Linked DNA regions of Nothobranchius furzeri. The protein of the gene in region 4 purifies or fractionates together with the protein of the main gene of each other region. This does not show direct contact. Links are inferred from orthologs where the notes say so. Each region holds a gene or a part of one and is shown on either strand. Other genes may lie near its edges.

Region 1 (4,548 bases), on a different chromosome or scaffold from region 4:
AGGCTGCTCGTGTTGGAAGAGGAGACCGTGCTTACTGCTCTCTGTGACCGAGGCAGAACCTGAGTGATCTGGTGCTGAGAAGCAAGCTCAGACAGCGATAGTGTGGGTGCTGCAACAGAAGGCCCTCCGCTTCCAGAAATGAGCGAGTTACTCAGAACTGGGCTGCGGTTGGTGTGCTCCTGGATTAAATCAGCCAATGAAGGACTGCCTTTAGGATCGGCCGTCGATGGATGCGGAACAGAACTGAGACTTCCAAACTCAGGAGGAGGAGCTACAGTGGAGCTTCTCACCTTGGGGGTGTTTAGTGACAGGTTATTGAGTGAAGTGGAAAGGATGGAGGGAGCTGCTGTGTTAGATTCAGAGGACATTTTCAAAGATGCCAGAGTTCCAAGTGATAGGCTACTCTGATTAGGAATAGTCGGCAATGAATTGGAAGCTACACTCAATGATGAAACATCTAAGCAAAACTTGTTATCAACTGCGCTCATTTTACTCTTTCGCTCGTGCTCACACATGAGCTGAGCCAAACTGGTGCTGCCGCCGACGCCTCCATGAGCATTTTCAAGCTGAAAACGTTTCTTTGCACAGCTGCTACTTGCAGGCCCGGTCTCGAGCGCTGATAAGAGGTTTCGTGCACTTGGTTGTGTTTGTTTATGTGCCGTGGATGTAGTGTCTGTGTGAGAAGCAGACAAGCAGGCTCCTTACCTTACGAAAGCCAAGCGAAGTTGTCGAAGAGGAGGGACGAGAGGATCACATGAGCAGAAGTGATGAATCACACCACATTTAAGAAGCAAGAACAAAAAGTAACAAGGCACTTTGTTAAACACATGCATGATGGAAATGTGTCATCAATAGAGCCTGTAGTAAATCCCTCTTAGTGATAAAGTGCTAAGCATACAGAATTAATGATTATTATCTGATTTCACTCATTTCCAATATTTAAAACAAATAAAACTTCAGGTTTGATTCACTCTAGGCGTACCTTTCTCAGCCACAATCTCCTGCTTGGTTCTTTGTGGAAGAGGCGTCGTCTCTTGACAAACTCTACTGACTGATGTCATCTCTTCATTTGCACTTCTGGTAACCGGGGCCGTTTTGGTGTCTTCAGACAGGACTGCATCCAATGCCCTCTGCGGGTCAAACCCATGTCTGACTGCAGCCTGGGTCAGCACCGAGTCTGGCATTGCGTCTCCGAGCACGGTCCGCATGTGGTCCAGGCAGGAATACAGCTTAGCTAGAACGAAACATGGGAGTTAGAAAAAATATATTCGAAAAAAACTATCGATTCAGCAGGATCAATCATATGTAAAAACATAAAAAATGTATACACAAGAATCCAAAAACATTTTGTCTGTAGTTGCAGTGAAATAAAAAGAGTACCTTGATTAAGAGGGTCAAGGTTGTGGTCGGCTGTTGGGGACATGTGAACATCTTCCACTTCATACTCTTCCTCCTCTAAAGGCTCCTCTTTGGGGGCTTGTCGCTCTCGACGTGAGTAAATGAACTGATTAGCTAAATGAACAAAATTTTGTTTAATTAAGTGCTGACTGCAAACCTGTAATACACAACAGCATCAGCCAAAAGATGAAAAATCAAAGACCCAGCATTCTTTAAAGAAACGCATATTGTCTGATCATTTTCATGTCGGAGTATATCCTCATCCCATGTTGACAAATTATGGAGTTACCGCTCAATATCTTCAAGACTGACTAAACTGAAGCCATTTCATTATTAGAAATTTTCGATTAACTTTAATTGGATTGACTGAAGATCAAACAACAAAGTTTTAGCCCATAATGTGTTAACTTGACTCAGTTATAGACATAGCTGCAGATTAGTTGTGTCCATGCAGAATTTTACTAATGCTACATAGAAAAAAACATGTAAATACAAACAGGTCACATTTTGATTTTTCATCATTCTTTTCAGAGGTGACTGATAACCAGAGATTGAAGAGGTGATCAATATCGATCTTTTGTTCTATTTGAGCAGTTTTGGCAACATGGGAAGACCTATTAGAATAGGTTGTTTTATTTGGCTGGCTGGCATTTTGATCAGAGTAATTGGTCACTTTAGTTACAGTAAAGACTTTAAAATCTGTTACTGGACATTTTTAAGAAAGGGTCTCAGAAGGAAACTAAACCAGTCCTTTATTAATACAGTATTTCCTCTTAATGAGTCACTGGAAACCAACCTGTTGCTGGTGATATACAGTAGTCATCATCCACAGATTGTCCATACATGTCATCATCTTCAAAATCTGATTAAAAATATACAAAAGAACAAGGTCAAATAAGTGCTTTTAATCATTTGCCAAATATTTCTTTACATCATTGTTACAGAGTGCTTTGTGCCAGATGTCACTCTGCCTTGTCAGCAATTTTAAAAATCCGCAACAAACTAACTAGCATGATGGTCGCCGGGTAATTACTCCGGTTTGAGAACCGTAACCGTTGAGTGTATGTTAGCTGTCTTAGATGAAACTTGTACAATTCATGCGTTTAGAGCTTTCTAACAAATCACTGAATAGCAGCCGCTACATTTATTATCATGCAAGTTGTTTTCATTGATTTCAGGTTTTTACGTTAACACCTGAATCAGTGGATATGCACATAAACGCCGGTACTGAGGTGTAATTTGTCTTTTTTTTTTTCTTGGTGCCAAATGACACGACAGCATTATTATTTTGGCAGGTGAACGTCGAACTAGCGTTAGCTAGCTAATTTTAGCCTAGCGGCTAAGGTGTTTAGCAGTCTGAAGGCAACGAATGAAGCAACAAATACTGACTAAAGTAATCTACCTTCATCGTAGTTGTAACCTCGAACATTTCTGTGGCGAGACATTTCGTCTTTCTGTCCTCTGTTGGTCCCGGTGTAGATGTTATTCAGCTCACATACATGTGTTTACCACCGCGGCTGCCATTGAGTTTGCTCCTGTGTAGTTTTCAACAACGAGTGTACGAATTACGATTTATTTAGCAGCACCGAAAACAACTAAGCTAAATGTAAAATGTTTTCTAACGTTTATATTTTCACAACGGATCATACAAATTTTCAAAATGCGTATTAAAGTTAAAAAAAGATAACTTCAAGATTTTTCCGCTGACGTCACTTCCTGTATGTACTGGAATCAGTTCTACTGACAGGAGCGGCTCTGAGTGGGCGCAGTTCAAACGGACCCACGGTCAGTTAATATTTACAAACTAATTTTGGACAAATAAACTAATACAGCTTAGAAATTAATTTGATACGGAGACAGTAATCATAAAAAACAACGAGCTAAATATATGTCTTCGATTATCAACCTTTATTTAACTTATTATGACTTTAGATTGTGTTCATTGTAGGGATCATCTGTGAATTTAAAAAATCATCACAGTTTCTACTAAAAATAATTACGCACCTGTTTCAATATGTGATTTGAAACGGTTGTTTTGACTTGTTGATCAGTTAAAAAAATTTTGTTACAAAACTGCAATGTTCAGCTCTATCATCGTTTTTCCAACAAACTAATTTAGTTTTCCAAGAAATTGCATTTTCAGGTCTTATCAATCTGCCATCAAGTGAGAGCAAACAATGAAGAGAAGAAGATGCAGAAAAAAGTAGCGAGCATTTTCTTTTCAGCAAGTCGTAGAAACAACTTAACAGATCCATCATGCATGCAACACACTTTTATGTCCCGTCTAAGAAGGGTGCAAATGTCAACAATCATCCTGTCAAAGGTTATGCCCCATGGTTAAAGAACAGCCCATCTGAGCTCACAACACCTCACATACACAATCTAGACTGACATATTTTTTTCCTGCTATCTTAGCACTACGTTGTTCAAGAATACAATATCAAGATAAACAGCTACAGAGTTTAGCATCCGACTGCTGCGGTCACCATAGTGTTTTTTTCCTGTGTCGCACGGCTTGTGGAGTTTCTCTGAAACAAATTCTGTCTAAATATCATAAAAATGTAGAGAAGAATGATGCTATGGTTCGTAATTTTGTTTAAAAAATTTTCAAATTGTATCAAATGTCATGATTTCTATTTTACACAGATGAATTGAGAGCCACGGCTACACTCATTGTGTATGCCTGTGATGACTCCATTCTGGAGATAAACTCAAAGAGAGAGGTATTAGTGGATTATTATTAATGGATAATCACGAATTGGACAGAATATTATCGAACCTGCTGGGAGATTATTTTTGCGGCGTGTACGCATCTGGTCAGCTGTCTACCATCCCTAAAAACATTCAACTATTCAACTCAATTCAAGTTTATTTATATAGCGCCAAATCACGACAAGAGTCGTCTCAAGGCACTTCACATAATAAACATTCCAATTCAGGTCAGTTCATTAAGCCAATCAGAAATAATGTTTCCTATATAAGGAACCCAGCAAATTGCATCGAGTCACTGACTAGTGTCAGTGACTATACAGCAATCCTCATACTAAGCAAGCATAAAGCGACAGTGGAGAGGAAAACTCCCTTTTAACAGGAAGAAACCTCCAGAGAATCCTACTTCCTACCGGCCTACTTTGTCGTCTGATTCTCCTC
Region 2 (4,592 bases), on a different chromosome or scaffold from region 4:
TCCCCATAGGCGGCTCCTAACACCTTCATCTTGGCTGTGTTGCACGTCTCATCACGCCCAGACAGTCCAAACATGAGAAAAGAGATGAAGCTGAGAGTCGGGCTGTGAGGGTGGGAGCAAATGACTGACACCCATAAACTGAACCAATCCAGCTACAACAAGCACTTTTTTTACTTCCGTGTTGGTTTCAGGTCTGGGTCTTCGGGGTTTCTGCTTGGTTCTGACCCAGTGGGCTGGCTAAACCAGTTTATAGGTCTTATTTGTAGGTCTTTATTATAATTTTGTGTTTGATCATTTATCAGAGCTCCTGGGCCATTGTAGACCCCAACAACATTTCATAGGCTGTACAAAGGCTCAAAAAACAGTTTCTAGTTGTAAAAAAAATGTTTTGGGTCTTTTTAAAATTGTATATAAATGTAATATCCTCTGGTGGCAAGAATAAGCTCACGGAGAGTGGGTTGTTCTTTGGGAATATTTATTACTCCAACACAGGTACAGCCATGCTTCCCGGCAACGAACTTCCGCTTGTCTAATGTTAAAGTACACCCCACTTTGCATCCAGAACACTAGGTCCACCTAGAGGCTTCCTGTAAAATGTTTAACCTCTCACAATACTACAATAAATTCATCACATGAATCATAAAAGATTTGCTGTTTGCCACAGAGGGGGGAAAAAAAGTGCTGATGACAGAATTTCCTGTTTAGTATTCTAACCAGAAAAGGTGTTCAATACTAGGCTAGTAAAACTAGACCAGATTCCTCCCTTTTAAGTTTAAATACAAATAATATACTTATTTAGTCTGGCTTGCCAGGCTAGTTCAACACAGATACCTTTAAGCAAACATTTAACTGTTTTGTGAACAATTTTTTAATGTGAAACTTTTCCAGATAAAAGTGTTTTTAATCAACCCCTAGAACATATTTTGTAAACGTCGTCTTTTTGTTTATTTCAGAAAATTCTGGTAAATTCAAAAACCTTTTGAAAAACACCTGAAGAATTTCTGTTTGCGGGACAGAAGAGAATCCATGAGTTTTCTTTTGTCCGACAGTACATGAACGCAAAAGGACAGCACCAACCGTGGCTCCGACTCTCTCAACACGGAAACAGGTGTTGTGCCGAAAGGAGCATGCCTGCCGAAATGCGTATCCCCATGAAATAAGCATAGAGGTAAACTAGAATACTTTATGAGCGACGAGGCTAACACGCTTCTGTTACGTGTTTTTCGTGAAAGCGTTTTGTTTTTGTTTACAAATATGATGAAATAGTTATAAAAAAATTACGTTTTTGAACGTTTGAGAATAATGTTTTAGTGAGCATTTTTTATGTATTTTTGTGCTTTCTCCCAACTATTTTGTTGTTGGTTCTTAAAAAACACACGTGACACAAAATTACTCATTTTAAAATATTTATTACTACTTTATTACTATTTCTTCAAATAAAAATGTTTTAAACATAAATTTCTTTAATTTATCTGCCTACAAACGATCTTTTTGTAAGGAATCACGCAGATAAACATAATAATATTACATTAATAGTACTTTTTAAGCGCCTTTCCACAACGGGGATGCACATTTCGCCAGGCATGCTCTTTTCGGCACAACACTTGGAGCTTCCCTCTCACAAGTCCGCCAAAACATAGTCTTCACTTTAAAGTTCCGGTTTGTAAACTTTGGGTCAGCGGCTGCTGATCCATTTCGGTTCAGAGTTCGGGATGATTAAAACCGAGAAGATTCTGCACCTGAAGAGTTACCGAGGCCGGAGGGTTCGGGTGGTTCGGGAGCACTATCTGAGGGAGCGGGTTCCCTGCTTCAGCTCTCTGTGTCAGGCGGCCTGTGCTAACGGTAAGTCCGCCAAAACACACAACTAGTTGCTAAAAACACACAAACAGCCGTTTAAAACACAACTAGTCGTTACAAACACAACCAGTCTATAAAACACACTACTAGTCGCAAAAAACAAACAAAAATAACTAAATAAACCGGCCGATAAAACACATCTAGTCGCTAAAAACACAGCCAGCCACTAAGAGCTAACGAGTGTTTTATTTCCAGTCCTTCATTTATTAAACCTTTATTTATTTTTATTTAACCAGATGAGTCGATTGAGAGCTCATTCTCGTTTACAGAGATGATCTGGCCAAGATGCAGCAGCAACAGACACATAGTTAGCTTTACACTAAAGAAAAACAGATAAGATAAAAACATACAAGATAAAACAGTTAGACATAAAGACAAAGGACTGTTCTATTATATAATATGTACCAGCGATCCAAACAGACTTAAAACTGTCTTTAATGTGCCAGTGTGTATTTTTCCTGGTTGATGGGGAGCAGTAGACACCTAAAACATTGCAAGCAAGCAGCATTTTTGTGTTGGAGTAAGACCTTACCAACGGATGCCTATTAGGGTCAAAAAGCCCTGAGGAGTGCAAACTTCAGGAAAATGACAAGCACATCAGACCTCCTTTCATCAGTGGCAACAAGTGAAGAGATAAATGTGTAAAACAATGTTTATTAATAGTGAAAGTTTTATAATCGTTTGTTACTAATCAGTAAATGCATGGACGTAATTGGGGGGGGGGGGGGGGGCATGTCCCTCCCCACTTTTTCCAACGTCAAGTTTTGACCCCTGCACATTTTACCATCCAAAAACAATATTACGCTATACTAAATTGACACTGGTTGAGCTCTAGGACCAAGCAGAAACCAACCGTTTGTGTTGAGACCTGTTTCCCATTAGAGCATACTGTAAAGATTTTTTTTGATTCATTTAAACAAAATTTTGCTTTAAACTTCATTTTCTCCAACAGATTTAACAAGCAGATTGGTTAAACTTGATTTGATGACTCGGACTGGAGCTGTTGGGCTGCGCAGTGGTGCAGTGGTTAGAGCTGTTGCCTTGCAGCAAGAAGGTCCTGGGTTCGCTTCCCGGCCTGGGATCCTTCTGCATGGAGTTTGCATGGTCTCATTTTGCATGCGTGGGTTCTCTCTGGGTACTCCGGCTTCCTCCCACAGTACAAAAACATGACTATTAGGTTGATTGGTCTGTCTAAATTGTCCTTATGTGTGTGTGTGTGTGTGCATGATTGTTTGTCCTGTGTGTCTCTGTGTTGCCCTGCGATGGACTGGCTCTCTGTCCAGGGTGTACCTTGCCTAATTGCCCGTTGACTGCTGGAGATGGGCACCAGCCCCCCCGCGACCCTACATGGACAAAGCGGGTTCAGAAGATGGATGGATGGATGGATTGGAGCTGTTGGTAGACTCACATTCTTGTCCAACCGAACGTTAGAGGACCGATATAATTTAATATTTGTATTTTCTCTGATGGATTTATTATCACAGGTAGATCAGTGTAACAGAACATCTGATTTCTGTATAAAACAGTGAATATGTTGTGTGTAGCCATGGTAACGACCTGATGACCCCTCAACAGATGGCAAGGTGTTGCCCGGAGACTTGACCCACTATGTGGTGCCGGGGGTGGAGGTGGTGGTCAACTTCCTGGAGATCCTGGAATTCAGGGAGCTGCAGGGAGTCATCTTCACCCAGACGGCCTGCCAGGCTCTGCAGAGTAAAGGGCGCAGGTACAACACACACAAACACACACACACATAGAGGGTGAAGTGGGTTGTCTGAAGAACTCCAGTCTACCGTCTTTTTTTATTCCAAAGTGATGGAGAACATCTCATAAGTTTTCCTGACAAACCATTAGCAGCTGGTTCTGGTGTGTGTGTGTGTGTGTGTGTGAGAGAGAGAGAGAGAGAGAGAGAGAGAGAGAGAGAGAGAGAGAGAGAGAGAGAGAGAGAGAGAGAGAGAGAGAGAGAGAGAGAGAGAGAGAGAGAGAGAGAGAGAGAGAGAGAGAGAGAGAGAGAGAGAGAGAGAGAGAGAGAGAGAGAGAGAGAGAGAGAGAGAGAGAGAGAGAGAGAGAGAGAGAGAGAGAGAGAGAGAGAGAGAGAGAGAGAGAGAGAGAGAGAGAGAGAGAGAGAGAGAGAGAGAGAGAGAGAGAGAGAGAGAGAGAGAGAGAGAGAGAGAGAGAGAGAGATCGGCTGGCGGGATGATGTAGAGTGATATCTGCTGTAGGAAAATGCAATCAGCAAGGGCACAAAAACAAAACACGCTCAAAGATAGCGACAGAGCTCGAGACTAGGTCATATACCCAAACGAGTTAATCATCCGACGTCGTGTAGGTCTCAGACTGCCCCTCATATAGCCAGCCGGTGATTGCAGCTGAGTGGCTGCAGCTGGGCAGTTCTCCGGCACCGCCCACCTGCAGGAGAAGGGTTAGTGTGGGGAACAATATACCTCAGGCCATGACAGCTTGACCTTCTCTGGAACCGAAGCCTTTAGGAAAAGCAGCGGTTGCCGTCCGACCAGACCAGTCTTGGGATACTTCCGGGTCACGACAGTTTTATTGGCATCTAGCGAGACCAAAAAGGGGGTCGTGATGGTTCAGCTTTTATTCTGAAAGGAACCGTTGCAGCAGTTGGAACAGCAACAGATTTTATCCAGCTTGTCGTTAGGTTCTTTCGGCTGAAGAGGAAAGTTACGGATTGAGAGAGAGAGAGAGAGAGAGAGAGAGAGAGAGAGAGAGAG
Region 3 (4,277 bases), on a different chromosome or scaffold from region 4:
ATGCATCATATTTTTAAAGCACATAAATTGGGGTGAAATGCAACAATAACATAGATTAATAATATGACAAAGTTTATTAAATCTGGATTAATACGTCATTATAAAGACTGTTATCAGTGATAACTCAATGGTTTCAAAGTAATATAACACTCAATATCTTTAGAAACGAACACATCAAGTTGCTGGTTTTGTGCAGCGACTTTCCAACAGATGCTGATTCATTTCTTTGAATTATTAGTGCACGTGTGTGCCGAAGTTTGGTTACTCTCCGCTGAAACAACAGAATGACATGGAAAGATGCTGTGAAATATTGATCCAGTCAGTGTTGCGGAGATGCTTTTAAGATAATAAGAAGGAGAGGGCCTCGTGAAGAAATCGATTTGAATGGGAAGTGAAGAAAAGAGAGGTTTCTCCCCACACACCACAGATCATTTATAATGAGCTGGCGTGTCAATACTTTGGCTCTTCTCATGTATTGACCACTGGATCACAGCAACACCCGGTTTTTCTAATTTGTTTTGGCAACAAACACTGAGGGGAATGAATACATTTACAGTTAGGATACCTTCATCCTTGGTCAAACTCTGCAAAAATAATAAGCTTTCGATTCAAATATAATATAGACGTCTCTTAAACAAATATTGGTGGAGACATGACTGGTGCATTTTCCTTTTTCATGTGCTGCAGATGCTGAGGAGTGGTTTGCACACTTTACAAATGTAAACACTGCCCCCTCATGGTACCAGAGTCCTGGTGCATCTTTCTGTCTAAACTGGATCAAATGGGGCGATAAGAGAAGAAATCTTGCAGCGTCTGCAGTCTCACTGCATTGGATGGATGCTCTGCTGACCAGAGCACAGTCCTGCGGGATTTGTGACCAACATCCTTTCAGATTTGTAGTGAGAGTAGCCAGCATTACAACAATACACAGCAAATATTCCAGATTTATATCATTTAAACCAACAATTATTTTATCTATTTGTTGATTCAGATTCAGTTTTTGTCTTTTCTTTATCATGTAGAAAATTAATTTATATGTACAAACACTTGTAAAAATGTTGCTATATTTAATAACTTCAAGCTTTTCAACAGTATTTTGTACACTATTGTACATTATTTATGTGTTTCGTTTATTATGTTTACATTTTTGAGTGTAGTTTCAAATCAGAGAGCAACTAAATCAATTTTAAAATATTTTATGAGTATTCACTCCTGTGTAATGTTGACACTGTCCACTCCATGCCGAAAGGGGGCGCTGTGACCCTACTGCTCTACCATTAACACTGAAGGTAAAGGTGGCGCTGTTTCCGTCAGGCACTCATGTACACAACTCAAATTTAGATGATGAATTCTTCAAAGAGTAATGATGCCACGGACAGCAGCTGTCAGGGAGGTAATTTGGACACTACTGAAGAAGTGAAAGATGAGTTATGTCCTGGTTTCAAAGACGCGGACACCTTCGTTAAAGTAAGTAAACAAAACTAGCTAGCTAGCCAGTTTTTAGCTTATGCTAACAGTCCAACGTGGGTGAGCTGGTTGGCCAGTTAGCAGGATCATCATTGGGAGTTGAAGTCAAGCAAAGCAGAGACAATGACTTAACACTATTCATAAATTAAAGGTGCAACGGTGTGGTTGTGTGTAACGAAGCTTTTTGCCAACTAGCTTTTGACAGCTTTTTCATTTAGGGATCCAAATCAGCAGTAGATATAAGCTGATGATTAGAGCAAAATATGTTGCTACAAGCTTTTATTCCACTAGATTCGGGGTCTGCAGTATTTAAGCTTAAATAACCTTTTTATTGTCAAATATAATTTAGTAAAATAAACTATGAAGGCATGGCAGCTTTATTTGTGTAATGCATTTCATACAACGAGGCATTTAAATAAATAAGGAGCGCATGAAATATTTAATTTTGATTTAAAAGTTGCTAGAGTTGGGGCACACAAAAATCACCATTAAATTAAGACAAATGTTTAGATTTTTTTCTGTTTAGATTAGTTCTTCATATATTTTTTCTGTTTGGTCAAAGTTACATTTGGCCCCATCAGAAAGAATGAAAAGCTGCATTTTCCAACAGCCAAGCTTTTAGGCAAATCAACATCACATTTAAATCAAACCAATGAGATTTTAAATATTATTGCATTGTTATTATCCTTTAGTAATAGTAACAACTGAACCTGGTCTCTTTACAGTATGGTTTGGGTGCAGTGTTATCGGCCACCAAAGCTTCAGCTGGCTTACCTCAGTCTGGAGATGAGTATGATTTCTATCGGAGCTTCCCGGGATTCCAGGAGTTCTGTGAAAGTCAAGGAGATAAGCTTTTGCACTGGTAAGTGTAGTTTCTATTGGCACATGTCAATGATCAATCAGCATGTAACCAACACATAATTAACAATTATTTTATTCTTTTTGTCACTGACCAGTTTTTCAGAAGCAAGCTCAAGTTTAAACCTGAACTGAGTATTCTGAGTTCTGAGGGAGTAAAACAAGGTTTTAATCTGTTTAACTGTCTTTTAGCATGAGCCAGATAATGCAGAACCATGGCTGCAGATCTCACATAAAAGACCGGGACAAACTCACAGGAATAGAGGAGAGGTTTGACTTGGTTGTGGACTCGAATGATGTTATCCTTGAAAGAGCGGTATGACCTGCACCTTTGGCTCTAAATTACTTAATGAATGCAAAGACCTTTGCAGACCAACCAGGTTCTGCTGTCTGGTTTTTAGGGCATTCTTCTTGATGAAGCTGATGGGGTTAATCGGAGCCAGAAGCCTGTCATGCCTGTTGGGTTTCAGCCTCCGAAAATTGTTGTTTCTAGTTGGAATCGTAAGGTAGGTGAAATAAACAGTTCTTCCTGTTATCACAGTTTTTCTGTTTTGAACTACCTTCTTGCTTATCTATAAATTCTTATATCATAATAAGCAGAGTGTGTGTGCGTGTGTTTTTTTTTTTACAGGGTTCCAGCTCTGGCAGTCGTTCTGAGACATTCCGACTGCTCCATGCCAAGAACATTGCAAGGCCTCAGCTGAAATTCAAAGAAAAGGTCGACAACAGCAACACACCTTTTGTTCCAAAGATCTTCATCAAGCCCAATTCATTAAAGGCTCTTCCCTCCTGTAAGAAGCACCTTTGGCACATGTTTTGATTTGCCATTTCAACTCGTCAGCGTATCTGAGTTATTTATTTTCTTTTCTCAAACTGTAGATTTTACCAACAAACAAATTCGTAAAGAGAGGCCGGAGGACCTTGACGTCCCAGCTGCCCTGGCTGACTTTATCCACCAGCAGAGGACGCAGGAACATGTTGAAGACATGTGAGACTTGTCCCTGGTTGTGTCAACACCGTGTTTCATGTTTTCATTTCTCTAAGTAGAGTTTATTTTTTATTTTATGTAGGTTTGCACACCCGTACCAGTATGAACTGGACCATCTCATAGTACCAGAAAGCTTGCTGTCCAAGCCAGAGCCTCAAGTAATATTAACCTGTAGTAACCCAACAAAATCATCTTGTGCCGGTGTGTGTCTCATCTGTTTCTGTTCCTTCTAGATGTACAAACCGTTGGCTGAGACAAACCTAACCTTCGTCGACTCGCTGGAGGATCTAGTGACTCTCAATGAGAAGCTGTGCAAGTCGTCTGAATTTGCTGTGGATCTTGAGGTACTAAAGTCTCGTGTCTTTCTGTTCTAATTAAAATAAAAGTAGCTTTAGGAAGTCATTAAACTCTTTGGAGGCTGTTTTTCTGTTAAACATTTTCTTTTTTTTCTGTGACAGCATCATTCCTACAGGAGTTTCCTCGGCCTCACCTGTCTGATGCAGGTCTCCACCAGAGAGGAGGACTTCATCATTGATACTTTGGAGCTCCGCAGTGAATTGTACATTCTGAACGAGGCGTTTACCGACCCGAGTATCGTCAAAGTAATGAAACTGTTCTATAAATGAGTTAATTTAATGTTGAAGAGATGAGCTGAGTCTGACTTGTGAAGGGAGAGCGTGTCTCCATCATCCTAGGGAGCAGTTCTCCCTCAGCAGTTAAGATAAAAGCCAGATTTCCGTCTCATTAACATGTTTGATAAGGTTGGCAGGTGTCTTGTGCGTGGGAACCAGCGTGACTCACACTCTGCAGGACACCTCTGAACAAATATGATGTGTGGGCTTGGAACAGCTGAAAGATTTGTTAAATTATTCAAATTAAAGTGTTGCATATGTGTCCAGTTAATTTGTCTTTTTTAGTTCAGAGATGCTTTAATAAAAGCGTGTGTGGGTTGGTTTTCTGTTCT
Region 4 (3,773 bases):
ACATTTGAGAATCCTAATCAAATACACCAGTTTAAAACTCCCTAACCATTTAGACAGATTTGTTTGAAAATAATAATAAAGAACATTTTTTTAAATCTCCAGCTTTACAAGCTGCCAGTCAACTTCAGGGTTTTTGTCAAGATCCTGGTCGTTTTTAGGCCCTTACATGAACAAGCACATTCATACAGTGGTGATCTTCTTAATCTCTACATCCCCAGCAGGTTCAGTGATCAAAGTCTACTGGTTGTACAGCGCACCAGGCTAAAGACCAAAGGTGACAATGATTTGCTGCTGTAGACCCCAGACTCTGAAACTCTCTCCCCCTGAGCCTGAGATCAGTGGACTCAGTGGTCTCCTTCAAAAAGAAGCTGAAAACTCACCTGTTCAGGCTGGCTTTGGTGTTACCTTCATCACTCCCTCTCCTTATTCTGCTCTACCAACTCCACCTCTCCCAGGATCCACTGATTTTCTTCTTTCTTATTCATTTTCTCTTTCCCTTTCCTTATCCTTTCCTTTAATCACATATTTTTTCTCATTTTAACCATATCTTCTAATCATTTTATCTATTAATATTTAAAATGTATTTTTCTTGTGAAGCAACTTGTGATTTTTATCATGAGGCGCTATATAAAAGATCATTTTCTTTCTTTCTAATAATTACTATTAATGATCTGTTATTCAGAGTTAACAGAACTAACAGAGACTACATGTCTATCGAACAAGAGTCAGGAGAAAAATCAAAGAGAAGATTTCCATTCACACATTTATAGGTCTGGTTACAAAAGGATAAAGAAATGCAATGAAATATTATAAAATAAAGAAAGAGTTCAGAGATTCTCAGTCCAAACGGGCTCCACTTCATAATTCATTACTCTCCGGTGAGCACCGATGCTTCTTGAAGATGCTGCCTCACCACCTCATCCAGCACCTTGCTCACACCTTTACAAGCTGTCGTTGCAGCTTCAATCAGTGCTTCCAGGTGATCCTGATGCAGCCTGGCGTCCATCTGAACCAGAGCAATCTGTCCTCCCCTGGGAAGCAGCGCCAACGCCAGAGAGCTGACTCCTCCGCTCTCCTCGGCGTAGCAAAGGTCAGCGAGGGGAGTCTCATCCACAAAGCCCACGGTGCAGGCGCACACGTAGTCTCGCATCGGGATGCCAGCATCAATCACAGCCAAGGTGGCTGCATTAACACACACACTGTAGTTCCCACCATCTGACTGCAGAATCTGAAAAATACAAAACATCTTCGTGAAAAAAAGGAACTGCTGTCTTTATTAACATGAAAAGAGAAACTTAAAGAATCTAAGATGCACCTTGACATAAATGTCTATTTGAGAGCGCGGGAAGAGCTGGGTCATCACAGCAGCTTCAAACGTTTGCTTCAGGTGGAGACTCATCTCGGTGGATTTACGGTCTCCGTGCGGCCTCCTCTTCCTTTCTGCGGTGCTGAATGTGGCCATGCTGTACTGGCAGTTAATGACGGCTCGATCGTGGAGAGTACGACTTCTTGAACCTCGCATCTAGAGGGAAGAATGAGATGAAGAAATACAAAAATAATCACGACTGGACTTGTTTGATTTTAACATAATTCCTAAAAATATGCTAATAGAACTAAAGTAAAATTAAAAAAAATATCTGGATGTTGAAATGTCCATTTTTTTTCAAGACCAGGAGTCCCTAGGTTTCTGGAAATATGTGCAACATTAGATTTAAGTTTCTATTATTATTATTATTTCTCAACTGTAAGGTTACATCGACAAATACATTTCTGGTGGGTTACCACATTTGAACTTTGATTTCATATTTATAACTAGTGATTTGCATTCATTATTCTTTCATTCGCTCCAGTGTATTTCTAATTTAACCTCCATGCTGTAGCATTCTGCTCTATCACGTCTGATGCACAGTAAACATTGTAAAATATTATTATGATCTCACTTTATTATACAAACACTAATAGGCGCGAAGATGTTGTTAAATCTAATACTAGGAAACATATAGTACCGCCTTTATATGGTTATGTGTTATGAAGTCCTCCAAACATTCGTGACGTTACATACCTCGTGCGGACCGTAAACCACAGCCAGAACTTTGGTGTTTCCCTGTTCCAGGTAAGCGGAACCGTCGGCCTGAGCGAACACACCCAGGCGAGCCTGAACTTTCCGCAGTTCGGTGGCTTTCCTTCCATCCAGGCGGTATCCCTGGTCCGACAGCAGCTCGATGCCCGCCATGTTTCTGCAAACACCCGCCTCACGTGTTCAACGCTGCACTACATTACCCAACAGCCTCTACCAGGGACAACGGCAAGCTCAAAGCGGGGGGAAAAAAAGCGCACGAACGTTTCCGTTCCATCCGTCCATCCTTTTTCTGACATCTGGATGGATGGATGATCTCATTTAAGTATAATAATATAAATAAATATCTATGAAAATATAAAGTCAAAATTCAAAACACAACCACTTTCTACATTTTATTTTTTATATTTAGAAAACAAATTCTAAAAAAGGGTTTCAATGATCCAAAACCAGCAGATTTTGAATTCCTGCAGCTGGTTTCCTGGTTTGCACATTTTCTATTACCCTGCCCATATTTCATTATTAGGTTTCCATTCATGCTCTCACTCCTTGTGAACGTTCTGCTTCGGTCTTTTACACAATATCTTTTAAAGGCGGTAAAACCAATTCAGTTTATAAATAAAGGGAACACATGAACACATCCTAGATCAGAATGAATGAAATATTCTTAATACTTTGTTCTTTACATAGCTGAGTGTGCTGACAACAAAACCATATAAGAATTATCAATAGAAATCAAATTTATCAACCCATGGATATCTGGATTTAGAGCATCGACAGAATTAAAATGTATAAACACACTACAGGTTTGGGCTGGGCAATAAATCGAAAATTTATCGTCATCGAAATTTCAGACTCTTATCGAGATAATTTTTCCCATGTCAACAAATTTAATAATAAAATAATGAAAAGATGTGTGTAGGTTGGCAACATTCCTGTCCCTTTAAGATGCCGTACCACCTGGAGTCAGGTAAAAATGTGACTAAACGTGATACACGTGACAGCCCCATCTAGTGGACCACTCTTGTTTCTGCGCATACCTGTAGTTATCATCCATTTATCGTTATCGAGGTGAAATCCTCAATACATCATGATATTGATTTTAGGCCATATCGCCCAGCCCTATAGGCTGATCCAACTTTGATGTAATGGTCTCACAAGGGGTTTGATGATCTCATCTTGGTACCTAATGGCAGTCAGGCAGCCTCTGGCGAGCACATGGAGGGCTGAGCTGCCCACATCCTGTTGCTGAACCTAGACCTGACCAACTGCAGCAACCCCAGATTATGGTACTGCCCCCACAGATTTGTACAATAGGAACTAAGTGTGATGGGTGCATCACTTCATCTGCCTCTCTTCTTACACTGACGCACCCATCCCTCTGGAACAGGGTCCATCTTGACTCATCAGACCAGTTCTAAACCCAGTTTCTGCAGTCTCCTTAGATGTTTTCTATGCTTGATGCATGCCAATGATTTCTTTTCCACGACCACCAGATGTGTCTTTACACATGATTTAAGAAATGGGAAGCAACTCATTGTACCAGTTGGGGTTAAATAACTTGTTGCCAGCTGAAAGATAATCACCCAGGCAGCAATTATCCAATAGGAGGCTCTACTGTTTGCTTGGTTAAATGCAGGTGGCGACATTTTTGGGGTGGTGAGCAGTGCATGTGTTCTTGCTGTACCACCCTTTT
Region 5 (4,527 bases), on a different chromosome or scaffold from region 4:
TCCTAATTACACTAACAGCCAAACAGTAACTAAACTACAATATCCAACAGCCAAGCTAACACTAAATAAGTATGTATAACACTAAAAGCTATGCTAAAGACTAGGATATGCTAATGCTATATGCTAATGCTGAACTACGGCTAGCCTCCTACACTCTCATGCAAATCCAACTCCCAACTCGCCACAAGGCGTGGCCGAGACTCCCGATGCTTTTATAACGTTGACACAGAGCTGCTACGTAGTACTCTACTGGATTACGTAGTATCTTACTCTTTAGCCATTGGCTAAAATTTATTCAAAATGAGTCAAATTCTATGTTTTAAGCTGAAGGTGGAGCTATACTGTGGTATTTAGGCAGAATTTTTAATTTTTTAAGAAAATGCACCAAAATGCTAAAATAATGAATACACACATTTAAAACACTATTAGACACTCATTTATACAGTTCATCAGCAAAAAAAAGTTAATTTAGACGTTACTTGCTCTTTAAGTTTGATCAGAAGTTGCTATGTGTATTGTTTATTTGAAAACTATTTACAGAGCAGCCTCAGAGTTGAGATTAAATGTTTTTGATCACAATAGTAAAGGAACTATTACAGAACAAGTTTTTCAATAAAATCAGAACATTAATATTTAAGTGCATGAATTAAGAGAGAGAGAGAGAAAAAAAGATCTTTTCTATAGCGCCTCTCAAGATAAAAATCACAGGGCGCTTCACAAAAACAAAACATGTAAAATAGAAAAAAGAATTTAGAAAATGATTAAATTAAAATGAGCAAAAAATAGACAATTGTGATTAAAAATGTAAAGAAAGAGAGAGAGAGTGAATAGGAAAGAGGGAGTGGATCCTCCTCAGGAAGAGGAGAGAGAGAGAGGGGGGGGGAAAAAGAACCCCGACTGGAGTGGAAGCAGTGACATAAGAATTAAGTCACACAACGTTTTCCACAAATGCACACGTTCATTCGGAAAGCCACACTCTTGTGTTTCACAAATATAATTCGGAGGAACACAAATGCACAAGCTCATTCGGAAATTCACACTCTTTGACTCATAAATATAATGTGAAAAAATAAGTCACGCAACATTTTCCACAAATGCACACGCTAATTCTGAAGTTCACACTCTGTGGTTCACAAATATTATTTGTAAGAACACTTGTAATATAAACTCACAGATCATCCGAATTGCTGAACGTGCATTTACGAAAAGCTTCTCATTTGTGAACCTTTCTGCGTTTGTGAGTGAAATCTGTGCGCTGAATTTTGGGGGCTTGTCTCCAGCATGTGTTACCATGGTGAATGGGAGGGGCTTCAAGCTAGCCACATTGGTCTTTAAATTATTGTTGGCTAATGTGTTTCGGTTTAAACAAACAAACATATAAACTGAAATAATTTACACAAATTCATCTTCGAGTGTTTTCACGGTCATGTCCTTTTATCTTTCTAGAAAAGGTTAGATGACCAGGATCCAATTCGAACAGCTGCTCGTGTTTGATTCATCATCCTTAACATCGACCATGCATGCGCATCAATGTTCGATTGTTTCAGACTGTGGTGAGCGCTTAGCCCAGTGGCTAATGCTAAGTGCTGATTGTTAGATCTAAACGAGTTCGTTTGAATGAGTTCGGATTTACTTTAAATTAGTATAAATTAATCGGCACAATATGGCGGAAGATTCATTCAAACTGTCAAAAAACCTGCTGCGGATGAAGGTAAGCGTTAGCTGCTAGCTCTGCGCCGAACGTCATTGACTAAACAGAAATGAACGTTTGATGTGTGATAAGAAGACGCTAGTTTCCTCCCAGATGCTGACTCCAAGCAGCGTTTATCACCCTGAAACTGAACTTGAATTCGGGGTAAAGCAACGAGACGAAGCGGATTTAGGCGTGTTTCAGAGATGTATCTGATCTCTGTGAACCCGTGGAGGAGCGGGATGTGCCTCCTTCATCTGGACCACTCTGAACCAGGACCGAACCTGAGAGAAGATTCTACCAAAGTCCAAAAAAATCCGAACCACAGCTCACAAAAAGCCAGAGCTTCTGGTGCAATGATTAGAATCTTCACTCCCAACACGTCCTCCATCCTGAGCAGCACCACGCAACGTCCTACAGAATCAAGTCCAGGATGGACCGACTGGTTCTGGGAGACCTGGTGGCCGCCAGAGAGGAGCCTGGGAAGGGAAAGCTGTGCCTCTTGTTTTACTGTTAGAACCTCTAGGAAGGAACCAAACTTGCTGCTGCCTGAGAACCAGGAGTTGTGGGAAGAGAGAAGATTTCTGATGGAAGTCAACTTTAGAAGTTCTGGATCTTCCAGGAAGCTGATGATCTTGGCAGCATTGTTGTGGACCTGGCTAACGGTGGTTTTGGTTGGGTCCAGATTGAGTAAATGTGTGCTTTGTGTTTCAGTTTATGCAGAGGGGACTGGATGCTGAGACAAAGAAGCAGCTGGACGAAGACGAGAAGAGGATCATCAGTGATGAACACTGGCACCTGGACCTGCCGGAGCTCAAATCTAAAGAGTATGAGAACAGGAATCCCACTAGCCTGGCGAGCCACGACCCATAGACAGATCTAAATAATGGGGTGGGATCTACGTTTTTTTTTTTTTGTTTTCCAATAACATCCTGCCTACTTAGTGTTGCGATTGGTCCATGAAATCTATATAGCGCCATGATTGGACCACTACAGAACAGCAGCCATCTTTATTTGTAGTTTACCTGGCTGATACCTATGTTTGGACAGTTTCGAGCGGCAGCCATGTTTGTTTGCAGGGACATCCCTCCCACCTCGCTAAAAGAGCACTGTGATTGGCCCAACAAACCAGTAAAACACTGATTGGAATGCCACGGATGTCAGTCAACGGGGCAGCCCGCCGTTACATTAAAAAAAAAAGTAAAACAGCGCGCCAGCACTAGCCTGGCAAGCCAGACTAAATAAATGTATTATTTAGGCAGGATGTTGTCTGAAAACTCAAATTTTATTGATCCTATTTATCTTAATAATTCCCACAAAACTAGATGGTACTAGATTAGTAGTAAAAAGTATTGGTATTGGGCGGCAATACTAGCCCCTGTATTTACTTGGTATCGGATCGATACCAAATTTTGCAGTATCGTACAGCACTACTGACTAGTCGGCGGTCAGCCGCTCGTTTGAAATGGCTTTGGCGTCAAGTTTGGACTATTATGACTTTTTAGCTTTTGTTTGAGTCAAGATCAGATAGAAGTACTAACGTTTATTTAGGAAAAGGATGTGTTTTGCATCTTCTTTGACGGAGTTTGGTGGACTGCCTCGTTGACCGACATCTGTAGCGGTGAGTAAATCAATGCTTGCCAGGCTAGAAGAAACGGAATCGATACCATCACGCAGGTATCTAGTAAATACTCAATACCAACGTTAGATCGATACTATCGATATCTTAGCTCGATCCGCCCAGCCCTATTTGTCAGTTTTACTGCCTCGACGCTCCGCAGCTACAACATGGCCGCCGCCTCCTCTCTTTCCATTCAATGTTTCTGGTAGCAGCGGTAAACAAGGCTTTGAAGTATCGCGCAAATTCATTGTGACTCGAGACATGTGAGGTTTGTCTTATTTTACTTACTGCATTATGAAAGTAAACAGCGCGTGCACACACACACACACACACACACACGTTTATTTGTCAGGACGGCTCTCCTCCTCACTGCACCTTCGCTCGGCCAGTGCTTCTTCCCCGGCTCCTCGGGCCCCGCCGCCGCGCTGATTTGTTTTAAAGAAAAACAACCTCAAAAGTCATTAGATGGTTACAACCTGTCTGTGTCTGGTCATGTGGGGCCTTTCCCTTTTTTTATTCTGTCATGAGACTGTGGCCTAGTCCACACGTAGCCGGGGTTTTTTAAAAACGAATATCCGCCCCTCCAAAAACTTGCATCCACACCACCTCGTTTTAAAAACAAACTGTCCACACGTACCTGGATAAATACGTTGTTAAGGACATGCCAGACCTGTAGGCGGCAGTACTTTCCCCGTTCTTAACCTCGTCCTTCGTCTGTGGTCTTCCGCAAGGAGCAGTAATTCCTCTTGCAAAAACAAACAAGCAGAAAGCGCTTGGACAATTGATAAAGCGAGCGCAGCTCTGAGGGCATCCATGCTGTCGGCTAGTGTAAACACAGGTCGCACACGTGATGTCAGCATTGCTTTGTCGCAGAAAGTGACGTTGCGGACCTTAAAACTCCGGTTTTGTCCGTCCACACGCAGACACCCAACACGGAGAAAACGCACATCTTCACTTTGGCCGGAGTTTTTTTAAAAAGATCAGTTTTCGTGTGGATGACAGGCCAAAACGTAGAAAAATATCTACGTTTTGGCAGATCCCCGGCTACGTGTGGACAGGGCCTTTGTCTGCCACAAAAAGGGTGGTTTATTCACTAGAATTCTCTCCGTGGTCGTCAACCATGTCCTTCAGTGTATTTTGTGAGCTGGACACCTTGATGTTTACTTGTGCAGCCTACAGCTCTACGTGTGTAAACATGCTGATGGATTGAGCTCTG

Evidence for each region.
Region 1: the proteins of exosc4 (region 4) and hbs1l purify together in Homo sapiens (affinity purification with mass spectrometry; 3 studies listed by BioGRID and IntAct, with this or other methods). This does not show direct contact. The link is inferred for Nothobranchius furzeri from reciprocal best matches to the Homo sapiens genes EXOSC4 and HBS1L.
Region 2: the proteins of exosc4 (region 4) and dis3l purify together in Homo sapiens (affinity purification with mass spectrometry; 5 studies listed by BioGRID and IntAct, with this or other methods). This does not show direct contact. The link is inferred for Nothobranchius furzeri from reciprocal best matches to the Homo sapiens genes EXOSC4 and DIS3L.
Region 3: the proteins of exosc4 (region 4) and exosc10 purify together in Homo sapiens (affinity purification with mass spectrometry; 9 studies listed by BioGRID and IntAct, with this or other methods). This does not show direct contact. The link is inferred for Nothobranchius furzeri from reciprocal best matches to the Homo sapiens genes EXOSC4 and EXOSC10.
Region 5: the proteins of exosc4 (region 4) and mphosph6 purify together in Homo sapiens (affinity purification with mass spectrometry; 7 studies listed by BioGRID and IntAct, with this or other methods). This does not show direct contact. The link is inferred for Nothobranchius furzeri from reciprocal best matches to the Homo sapiens genes EXOSC4 and MPHOSPH6.

The regions. Positions count from the first base shown.
Region 1 is NC_091742.1:448,093-452,640, reverse strand, and holds the start of hbs1l (HBS1-like protein), read right to left. Parts: upstream 3,017-4,548; 5' UTR 2,844-3,016; coding exon 2,801-2,843; intron 2,261-2,800; coding exon 2,195-2,260; intron 1,513-2,194; coding exon 1,381-1,512; intron 1,235-1,380; coding exon 983-1,234; intron 701-982; coding exon of another isoform or gene 1-700. UniProt on the Homo sapiens protein: GTPase component of the Pelota-HBS1L complex, a complex that recognizes stalled ribosomes and triggers the No-Go Decay (NGD) pathway.
Region 2 is NC_091749.1:66,618,489-66,623,080, reverse strand, and holds the start of dis3l (DIS3-like exonuclease 1), read left to right. Parts: upstream 1-1,576; 5' UTR 1,577-1,712; coding exon 1,713-1,842; intron 1,843-3,432; coding exon 3,433-3,583; intron 3,584-4,592. UniProt on the Homo sapiens protein: Catalytic component of the RNA exosome complex which has 3'->5' exoribonuclease activity and participates in a multitude of cellular RNA processing and degradation events.
Region 3 is NC_091755.1:29,809,044-29,813,320, reverse strand, and holds the start of exosc10 (exosome complex component 10), read left to right. Parts: upstream 1-1,261; 5' UTR 1,262-1,341; coding exon 1,342-1,467; intron 1,468-2,192; coding exon 2,193-2,329; intron 2,330-2,517; coding exon 2,518-2,641; intron 2,642-2,726; coding exon 2,727-2,831; intron 2,832-2,956; coding exon 2,957-3,116; intron 3,117-3,204; coding exon 3,205-3,313; intron 3,314-3,395; coding exon 3,396-3,471; intron 3,472-3,546; coding exon 3,547-3,657; intron 3,658-3,771; coding exon 3,772-3,915; intron 3,916-4,277. UniProt on the Homo sapiens protein: Catalytic component of the RNA exosome complex which has 3'->5' exoribonuclease activity and participates in a multitude of cellular RNA processing and degradation events.
Region 4 is NC_091751.1:51,169,150-51,172,922, reverse strand, and holds exosc4 (exosome complex component RRP41), read right to left. Parts: upstream 2,290-3,773; 5' UTR 2,234-2,289; coding exon 2,063-2,233; intron 1,523-2,062; coding exon 1,316-1,522; intron 1,229-1,315; coding exon 869-1,228; 3' UTR 750-868; downstream 1-749. UniProt on the Homo sapiens protein: Non-catalytic component of the RNA exosome complex which has 3'->5' exoribonuclease activity and participates in a multitude of cellular RNA processing and degradation events.
Region 5 is NC_091744.1:80,075,126-80,079,652, forward strand, and holds the start of mphosph6 (M-phase phosphoprotein 6), read left to right. Parts: upstream 1-1,511; 5' UTR 1,512-1,663; coding exon 1,664-1,711; intron 1,712-2,404; coding exon 2,405-2,517; intron 2,518-4,527. UniProt on the Homo sapiens protein: RNA-binding protein that associates with the RNA exosome complex. Involved in the 3'-processing of the 7S pre-RNA to the mature 5.8S rRNA and play a role in recruiting the RNA exosome complex to pre-rRNA; this function may include C1D.